Linked DNA regions of Bombyx mori. The protein of the gene in region 1 interacts with the protein of each later gene in a biochemical or structural test. Links are inferred from orthologs where the notes say so. Each region holds a gene or a part of one and is shown on either strand. Other genes may lie near its edges.

Region 1 (4,297 bases):
AAAATAACAGTAACCGTCGCAATTATTTTATTTTTATTTTTTGTAAAATTATGTTTTTAAAACCTACCGCCGGGTTACGTTGTTCATTTTTCTTTCACCCTCATTTAGCAAAAAGTTTACAACAAATTTGTTTTTTTTCTGTTTTCTGTATTTTAGTTGGAAATTTTCTATATTTTAGGAAGACTTCATATTGCATTTGACGTATTCAGTTGATATGGCTTTCATTGATACGCAAATTATTATTTCACACTGTTTAAATTGTTCAGAAATAGATATTTTTAATACCTATTCACTCTGTGTTAGATTTGATTGCAAGTAGCATTTAATTTTGAAACTTGTAGTATTTCCGATTACACGGAGCTTAAAGTAAATTGACGTTAATAACGCGAAAATAATTTATAAATTTATTAAGTCATGTGAATCTTTAAGGAGAACACTTTGGCTGTCACGCGTTCAGTTTTAGTTTTAAGTTATAATTTGAGATCTAAGATTATTTTGAGAGATATAATTTAAGATTTATTATGACTACTTTTACGGATTAATCTTGCAATTGTCATTTTAAATTTATTATTTCCGATTATTCGAATACTTTACAATTTTCGTGACCACGGACAAAAGATTAAACTGTAAATGTAGTTTTGATTATGACTTTTGTTGTTGAAATTGAAAAAAGTTTTTTTTAGGTTATTTAGGGCCATCATTTTTTCCGTTTGTTTTGAGGTCTTTCAGTAGAAAAGGCTTCTATCATTCGAAAATATTCTTGCATCATCTAAGGTTAATAAGATAAAGATAAGCAGTTTTAATTTAGAGCACAATCCGATAATTTTTTTTCTGCCATATCCAGTAACCTCGAGGGGTTATTCTAGATTCGCCGAATTAGCAGGTGAGCTCACGGGCTCAAACCTGACGACGTTGCTAATACGAACCCTAGCAAGAGCCGTGCTTCACAGAATCTACCACCGGATCGGAAACACGACTCACTGAGAAGATCCGGCGAAAAACTCAGTGGGTTGTGTCTGTGGGTTAATTTACTCGCCGAGCCCTGCGTCGCAAGCGACGGGTTCGACGAGAACGATGACCGGTGCTCGGGGACCTAAAAGCACCATTAGTGGATCGGGAGGATCGGAAATGATGTGTTATGGGGGACGTCGACTGCTTTCCATTCAGTCCGCAGGATCAGAGGTACAATTCGAGAAAATCTATGAAAACACCTTATTCGATTGTTGCTGTTAAGAATAGTATTATTATTGTTTGGCTTCGAAGACAGGATCGCAAGTACAAGCCTATATTTTGTGACAAATTTGCTATATACTCACAGCTCCTCTCGTTGCCGTTGTGACAACACCATTTTCATTGTGGTCGGTTGATGCTTGAGGCGGCTCGCACGTGAGGTTCACTGCTCTAGAGTCTTACTTGTTCACGCGGGCGACGGCGGAAATTCCGTTGCCATTATCACACCTGTAGCCAAACATAATGAATTAAGATTTTAGATACCACTGCAATGCCTATTTCTGCCATAAAGCAGCAATGTGTTTCAGATTGAAGAGTGGGGCAGCCGCTGTACTGTAAAAACTGAGAGCTTAGAACTATTGTTTTAAAGTGGGTGGATAGATTAGGCTAAAACTAGGTCTTCTCGCCTTGGTCATATGTTTTTATATTCCTCTCCCTAAGGTCAATCACAATGTCAAATTATAATTACTATGCTTATTTTGCTCTTTACATCTCTCTATGCATTACAATTCTTTATTGACATCACAGGGAATCTTTACTTGTCCCATACTAAATGTATTACTGTTATTTTTAACACAGGACAATGGTAGCTATTTTTTTGTAAAAGTTTCTAAGATTGTTATACTGAAACTTTTGATTGAATTTGCTTTTCTAAAATGATTTTATGCAATTGACCTACATCTTTAATCTTTATACATTATAAATTATAATAGAATAATTTGACATATTTTTCACCAAAGAAATTATATTCAATTTAAGATTTTGTAAAACATTTTTAATGTTATATTTCTATTTAAAAAAAGCATTCATCAAGGATCATTCACAGTACAACCTTTTTATTACTTTAACCAGAGAATGAAAAGATGGTTTATTAAAAATGATTGTTTTGTATGACTTGGTTAACATTGTAGATTTACAGATATTATAAATAATGATGTGTATTTGGTATTCCATAAACACCTTAATTTGCAATAAAAACATAAAACCCAAGTGTTTTTAAGTACCTATATGTAAATTATTGTTTCATAACAATTGTATTCTTGTATTCTTTCATTTATAGTTTAAACTTTAAAACAATCAATTTAATACTCTTAGTTTGTCAAGAGGTATTATTTATTTTAATATTTTACCGATAAACAAAATTTCATGTCATCGCAAACATTTTTAAGTCTATGTATATAATATTGAAATGAGCATAACCCTGGCATTACCTCAACTCTGTTTATTGGATATGTTCAGACTTTAAAATTGTAATCCTAATCCTGTATTTAAATAAATTTAAAGAGTACAAGAATAAAAGCTAAAGTTGGTATAACACTGTAATGTATTTTATTTTCCTAATCAGTTTCGTAATGATTTAGCTTTTAAATGCGCAAAACAAATTCTGCATTTGAAATTACACAGGGATAAACTGCAAAATGAGTCAGAAATCAAATGTCAAAACCAGCGGATTGCTGTCAATTGCCACATCAACTACGCTTTGTCGAACGTAATATCTGAATAAACTACGAATATGTATTTATATGAATGGCCATTTACAAAGTATTCATTGCTTCAAGACATTGCTAAATAGTCGCAAAATAATCATAAGAACGGCCATATTGAACGTCTGTCGTGGTACAGGATTTCCACTCTATAATGAAACACAACTGTTCTAATTAGAAATCGTTAGTGGTAAATATTAATACTTACAGAACACAAAAAATCACTTGCTTTTACACTACAGTTTAATTTTATTTGATTTAACACACACAGTAAACGCACTTCACACAAGACTCGAGGCAGAAAACCGTTTTCGTTGCACGCAAATGCAATGGTTTTCGTCAAAATCCTACCAACTCTGTGACTGAATGAACTGAATGAACTAATTTAACATCAGTTTCGATTTTTGTATTTTGTAAGCTGGCAAAGTAATTTTATTTGCACCCTAAAGACAAAATCGAAACTAGCAACCCGCCATCTTGTGTAACGTCATTTTTGACAATTTGAAGTAATGTTGCTATAAAAAAATATAGTCAGAAAAATTTAATGACCCATTTCAAAAGTTTTATTTTAACCTAAGTTGTTGTATTATATATATTACAGTGATTATATGATAACACAATACACGCAAAAACTCCACACATTTTCCAAACACAGTAATTAATTTAAATGCATTAGTAAATCTAGTAGTTTAACTTTCTGAATATGTTTCACATACACGTAAATATTCCGAAATCGAAAAGCGAACATAATTGATGAATGATCCCACATGTCACTTGAACCTTGAGCAAAATTGAGCCCATACTTCAGCTCATTTATAATTTAGTTGCTTTATGTGCTGTTTTCATCGTTTTGATTATGTTATTGTAGTAGAAATTAATAAATGCTCTGTCAAATATCGAATTTTCGAAAACTGTTCATTTAATAGATAAAATTATGTAAATTAGGCATACTAGGCAAAATGAACAGGTGCTCAGTGTAATCGTTTAATGTTGCGATTATGTCCATGCCCAACATCTCAGTATGAAATCAAACCTGTAACGTGTTTATCTGCGTTAGTATTGCTATCAGACGACCGTATGAATCAGTCATGAATTGTAGCTTGAAAGGCGGAACAACCATATAAAAACAATATACTTGACGAAATATTTACTTCAAAGAATAATAGCAAATTTTAAAATCTTACTATCTATCCTTTAATCTATGCAGATAAAATAGTAGAGGTAACTATTTTGTTTTTTTTAAATACATGATGATGGTTTATCATAATCTAACTACATAAATATATTACACATTAAACATACTTGATATTACCCAAGGAAACGTATTTTAAAATAATTTAGTGAAAGATTCAATAACTTAAAAAGCTAAAACCGAAAATGATTTATTTATTCTTAATTAAGCTGATAGCCTTGAGAGGCTAGATCAGCGTAACCCGAATGTGTGGGTGAGCTCTCGGGGCTCAAACTAGGAGGCGTGTCTAGCACTGGCCCCAGCAAGAGCAGGGCTTCGCAGAATCTACCACCGGATCGGAAATGCGACCCACTGAGAGAAACTTAGCTGTGTCTATGGGACAGTTTACTCG
Region 2 (4,594 bases), on another chromosome or scaffold:
TATTCTGTATTCCTGCAGGTATACTTAAAGAATCAGTTCGTTTTTTATGTCAAAGATGGTTGTAAGCAGTGCAAACAGTCTAATATCAATAGAAGAAACTGAGTGCTGAGAGTCCTTTAGGTAACATACTTATAATCAATGCATATCTAGTCAGGTCATAAATTCTGTCACATGTTTAATGTAAAATAATTGAAGCAAGCATAAATTGACTTTACTATTGTTGAATTACTATTAAAATCTGATTTTACAAAAAAAGCTATTATCATAATTTAAAAATGAACTTGGGAGAGAATATACTCTCTTTCATCCTACTTCTGTTCCTGGGTATGTGCCTAAACAAATTAAATTATAGATAACGCAGGTGAAGCTTTGGGTGGAAAAATAATATAAATACAACTATTAATAAAAAGAAATCATACTCTTTTCATTTTTGTCCTTTTCAATATCTTCCTTTAACTTCTCTGCTTCCTGATCAGTGAGTTCAGTTACAGTAGCAGGTTCAAAATCATTTGCAAGTCTCTCTTGTTCTTTTCTTTGTTGAATCTCTTTTAATCTCTTGTCTGCTTCTTCTTTTTCTTTTTTAATCCTATTAGCTTCATCACATGCTTTTTTAGCATGGGTGTAGAAAGTATCTTTGACTACCTGAAAAAACAAAACTGTACATTGGAGATTTATCCAAAATCAAGTTTCAATTATTGACCCAAGAGGGATTACTAATAGCATAGTATAGCTGCTGCCTAATTAAATTAATGCATCTTATCCACAAATTTATTTATGATATATGAAAATTTATTAAGTTTTAATGTCTTTTATAGACTATTTGCCTAAGCAAAGTTATCAATGATTTTATTTTAATATATATATACAGTCAAAATCTGTTATAACGACATCGAAGGGACTGCTCATATTCAGTCGTAAAAACCGATAGTCGTAACAAACGGTGATGTTTAATGTGTATCGTGCAAGTACAAACAAATAGATAGAGAATTATTGGAAAACTATATTTATTCAACTATGTACATTATGTTTATTACACATAAGTACAATGCATATTATTTTTCTGTAAAATTATTGTCATAAAGCGTTTGAGTTTTTTCTCGCTCTTTCCAAATGGTTGAAATATGTCGAGTGTCCCACTCACACCACTACACCATATTCCTTTGCTAAGTCTTTGTTTGAAATTCCGTTCTCTAGCTTGGATATAATACGCGATTTTTCTTCAATACTGTTTTTTTTTTTTTCGCGACATTTTCAAAGTTTCACGAATAACTCCACAAAGTTTTGGTGCGTCTTGTGTATAGATAAGTAACAAACTAACTGAAAAGATATGAAGAAGCGGGCTTTGACTCTACGGCATGCACATGTTTTGTTTCTAAGAATTAGAAAAGACCCTACACTAAACTAAATCCTATTGCTTCCTTTCCTGATTTTAATACAAATGTGGATACCTATTCAAATTGTTTACAATACAGCTTAGCCAGTCGTTCTAACAGATCTAATTCTCCGAAATATTATGTCGTTTTATGAGGTATGTCGTTATTAGCAATGTCGTATAAAGCAATGTTTTTAATACAGCGGTCATATAGCATTCAGCCGGGACCTTTGTTTTAGGTTATTATAACCGGCATGTTGTTCTAAACTATGTCGCAGTAAACAGTTTTGACTGTATATATTGTTTTTATCTAAAATACTAGTAAGATTATTTTTAAGCAATATATACCTGCTCCCATTCCCCTTCACGGCCACCAGTGAAAAAGTCAGTTTTTCTAGACAAAAAGCTAACTATTGTGTTCAGCAGCTGGAAACAACAAAAAAATAATTAAACTTTTCATCTTTAAAATCTACCAGTGGTAGACCACATTGCAAGAGCTCACAGATGCAACTGCGCCCCTTGCAGCAGACATAGGGAAACATTCCAACTCCCAACAAATTTGATTTAACTTTTACACAATTGAAAACATTAAAAAGTCAAACTATGCACACTGCCCTGCCTATTTTTGTCACAAAATCATGCATTCTGCAATCGAAACTACCAATACAATTGAAACTTTCACCTTATATCTGAACACCTCAAATTATAACACTTAAGACCAAATGAGCTGTGAGATCATTCAGCCTATAGAATAAATAAAGAAATAATAATGTAGTTGTTGATGAATTTCATTACATTAGAAATATATAATTTATTAAATTATTATCAAACACATAACAGTATAAAATGCTCATCATATTTAAGATCAATAACTATGATGAATATAATATGAATACTATGATGAATATAATAATGAATTTGAAATTCAAAATGCAATGAATTAAAGAAAATGTTCCAATTATATACTTTGTCCTAACATTAGTAGAAATAATACTGTTGTCCCTTTCTTTGTGCTTTTGAATGTAATTGTTCAAATTAGTGGATTATGTGTCTGATATTTAAGTAATGAGCTTGTAACTTACTTATTTCTAAAAGTCAACAAAACTACGAACAAAAGTATTAGGGACATCAAGGCTTTAAAAGTAGGTATCTTCCACTAGTAACCTCCCAAGTTTCTAGAATGTGTTGTTATGACAACACGTGCAAGCGATCAATGATATTCAATTTAACGAGAAACAACTAAGCGCTTTGATAAAGACATAATAAAAGTATATTGTTTAGTGTCATGATTTATATCTGTTATATTATTGTGAACAAAGCAAAAATAATAATTTACTCTTACATCTTTTACGCCGCCTTCGTGCTGTTGTGCCATAGCTAGGAGCATGGAATCAAATCTTTCAGGATCGTTTGCCATATTTACTTTAGTATTAAGACGGTAAGTCACAGGTACTTGTTTTTAAAATTACGTAGGTAATACTTTAGTTTTTCAATTATTGCAGCTAGAGTCGAAAAACCGCAACTCAATCTCAGCCAAACAAACGATTTGTTGACACTTATTATATGACAACGTCAACTTGACACGTTACGGTTATGTTTCCATTTGAGGGTACCGTAGAGATGAAATTATTAGAGGTAATTATGACTTTATTGCACTACATGGTTACAAAAAGTATGAATAGAAAAATAAAAATCGAGAAAGCTTTAATTTCCTCGTGAAGATATCGACCGGAATAAGTAAATTATCCGTAACTAAACTTTATAATAAACCGTGTTCAGTGATTACAAAATACCAACCAACATTCTTATTTTCTTTTATTTTCATTTTACACACTATTTTGTGTTTATTGCTCACAAGGAGATAACCAACGATTCTTCATAGCTAATTTGTTGTAATATAAAATAATATATAAAGTATATTCATACTTCATTCGTGGAAAAAAATCCTTTAAAAGTTTTCCTTACTAAATATACTAAAACGTTTAAAAATTCCTTTAAAAGGTTTTAATTTTATTTTAAATTAATAATGTTCATCTATCTCTAAGAACAAGTTGAATGATACATCAAATCATTGGACATATTACTTTGCAGAGAGAAAATAGTTGCCGACACGACAAAACACTATTTTTATTATTAAAGTGAACGAATAGACCCGTAGTCCGTAAGCGCAAGACTTTCAATAGGCAGCAGCTTAGCTCGCCAATTGAGAGTTCTGGTGGTTATGACGTCGACAATCGGAATGACGTTAAGTGGGAGTAAGGTGGTGAAGAGTGAGTTTTCGGGGAATATGTCACCTTTCCCCCCAACATTTATTGACATCTGTCTTAGTCGTATTAGCGATATGGCCTGTTGAGCCACCGGAGATTATAATAGTCAGCTTAACTCTGGCATGCCCCACGGTACGTTTCTAGCATGTAGGTGGAACTCCAGCTATTATGAGAGTTGTTAATTATAGCTTAAAATATGTCTGTTTTCATCAACTATAAATTGTAGTAGCATTTTTGATTTAGTAAAGGGATATACATTATACTCTGAGGTCTATCACTAATCCATCACTTCAAGCATAGAATAAAGACCAAAAAGATACGCAAAATCCATAGACAAAGGAAAGTGAAAGAAAAAGTCAGTGTCAAATCAATGGAGGTCATTGCATTTTTGTGCATTTTCTAAAAAAATAGAGAAGATTTGAATACGTTTTCACAGAAATTGAATGTTTTATTAAAATGTAATTTACTTTACGGAACAAGTTTGTGAGTAATTAATAATACAATTGTTTTTTCTTTCCTTCGATGTCATGTGTCAAAATGAAGTCAGCGAAATATTTTTCTTTTGCAGATATAAATTGAAACCTTAAGAATGGCCGACCAATTTTGTTTACGCTGGAACAATTTTCAATCGAATATTGTGAGTGCATTGGATTCCTTAAAATGTTCTGAAGATTTAGTTGATGTGACGCTTACTTGTGAAGGTAGAAATATCAAGGCCCACAAAGTCATTTTGTCAGCGTGCAGTCCGTACTTCAGGAATGTGTTCAAGGTAAATGACTTAGGACATTAATAACCTTCATATTCATTTACAAGTAAATATGTTATGGTATATGCAATGTCATGCGAATACCAACAATATACCTACTTACTACTAAATGTATGCTATGTTCGTTTATGCACATATTAAAAGGATTTTATTTTCAATACTTTTTTAATGATGGTTCTACAAAATTAT

What was found.
Region 2: the proteins of lissencephaly-1 homolog (region 1) and nuclear migration protein nudC form a complex in vitro, tested with the Homo sapiens proteins (3 studies listed by BioGRID). The link is inferred for Bombyx mori from reciprocal best matches to the Homo sapiens genes PAFAH1B1 and NUDC.

Annotation. Positions count from the first base shown.
Region 1 is NC_085114.1:11,220,473-11,224,769, reverse strand, and holds the start of lissencephaly-1 homolog, read right to left. Parts: upstream 3,096-4,297; 5' UTR 2,923-3,095; intron 1,459-2,922; 5' UTR 1,355-1,458; coding exon 1,317-1,354; intron 1-1,316. UniProt on the Homo sapiens protein: Regulatory subunit (beta subunit) of the cytosolic type I platelet-activating factor (PAF) acetylhydrolase (PAF-AH (I)), an enzyme that catalyzes the hydrolyze of the acetyl group at the sn-2 position of PAF and its analogs and participates in PAF inactivation.
Region 2 is NC_085128.1:8,585,557-8,590,150, forward strand, and holds the start of nuclear migration protein nudC, read right to left. Parts: upstream 2,975-4,594; 5' UTR 2,790-2,974; coding exon 2,715-2,789; intron 1,799-2,714; coding exon 1,721-1,798; intron 643-1,720; coding exon 420-642; coding exon of another isoform or gene 415-419; intron 1-414. Other genes in the region: broad-complex core protein isoforms 1/2/3/4/5, read left to right, coding at 4,229-4,408. UniProt on the Homo sapiens protein: Plays a role in neurogenesis and neuronal migration. Necessary for correct formation of mitotic spindles and chromosome separation during mitosis. Necessary for cytokinesis and cell proliferation.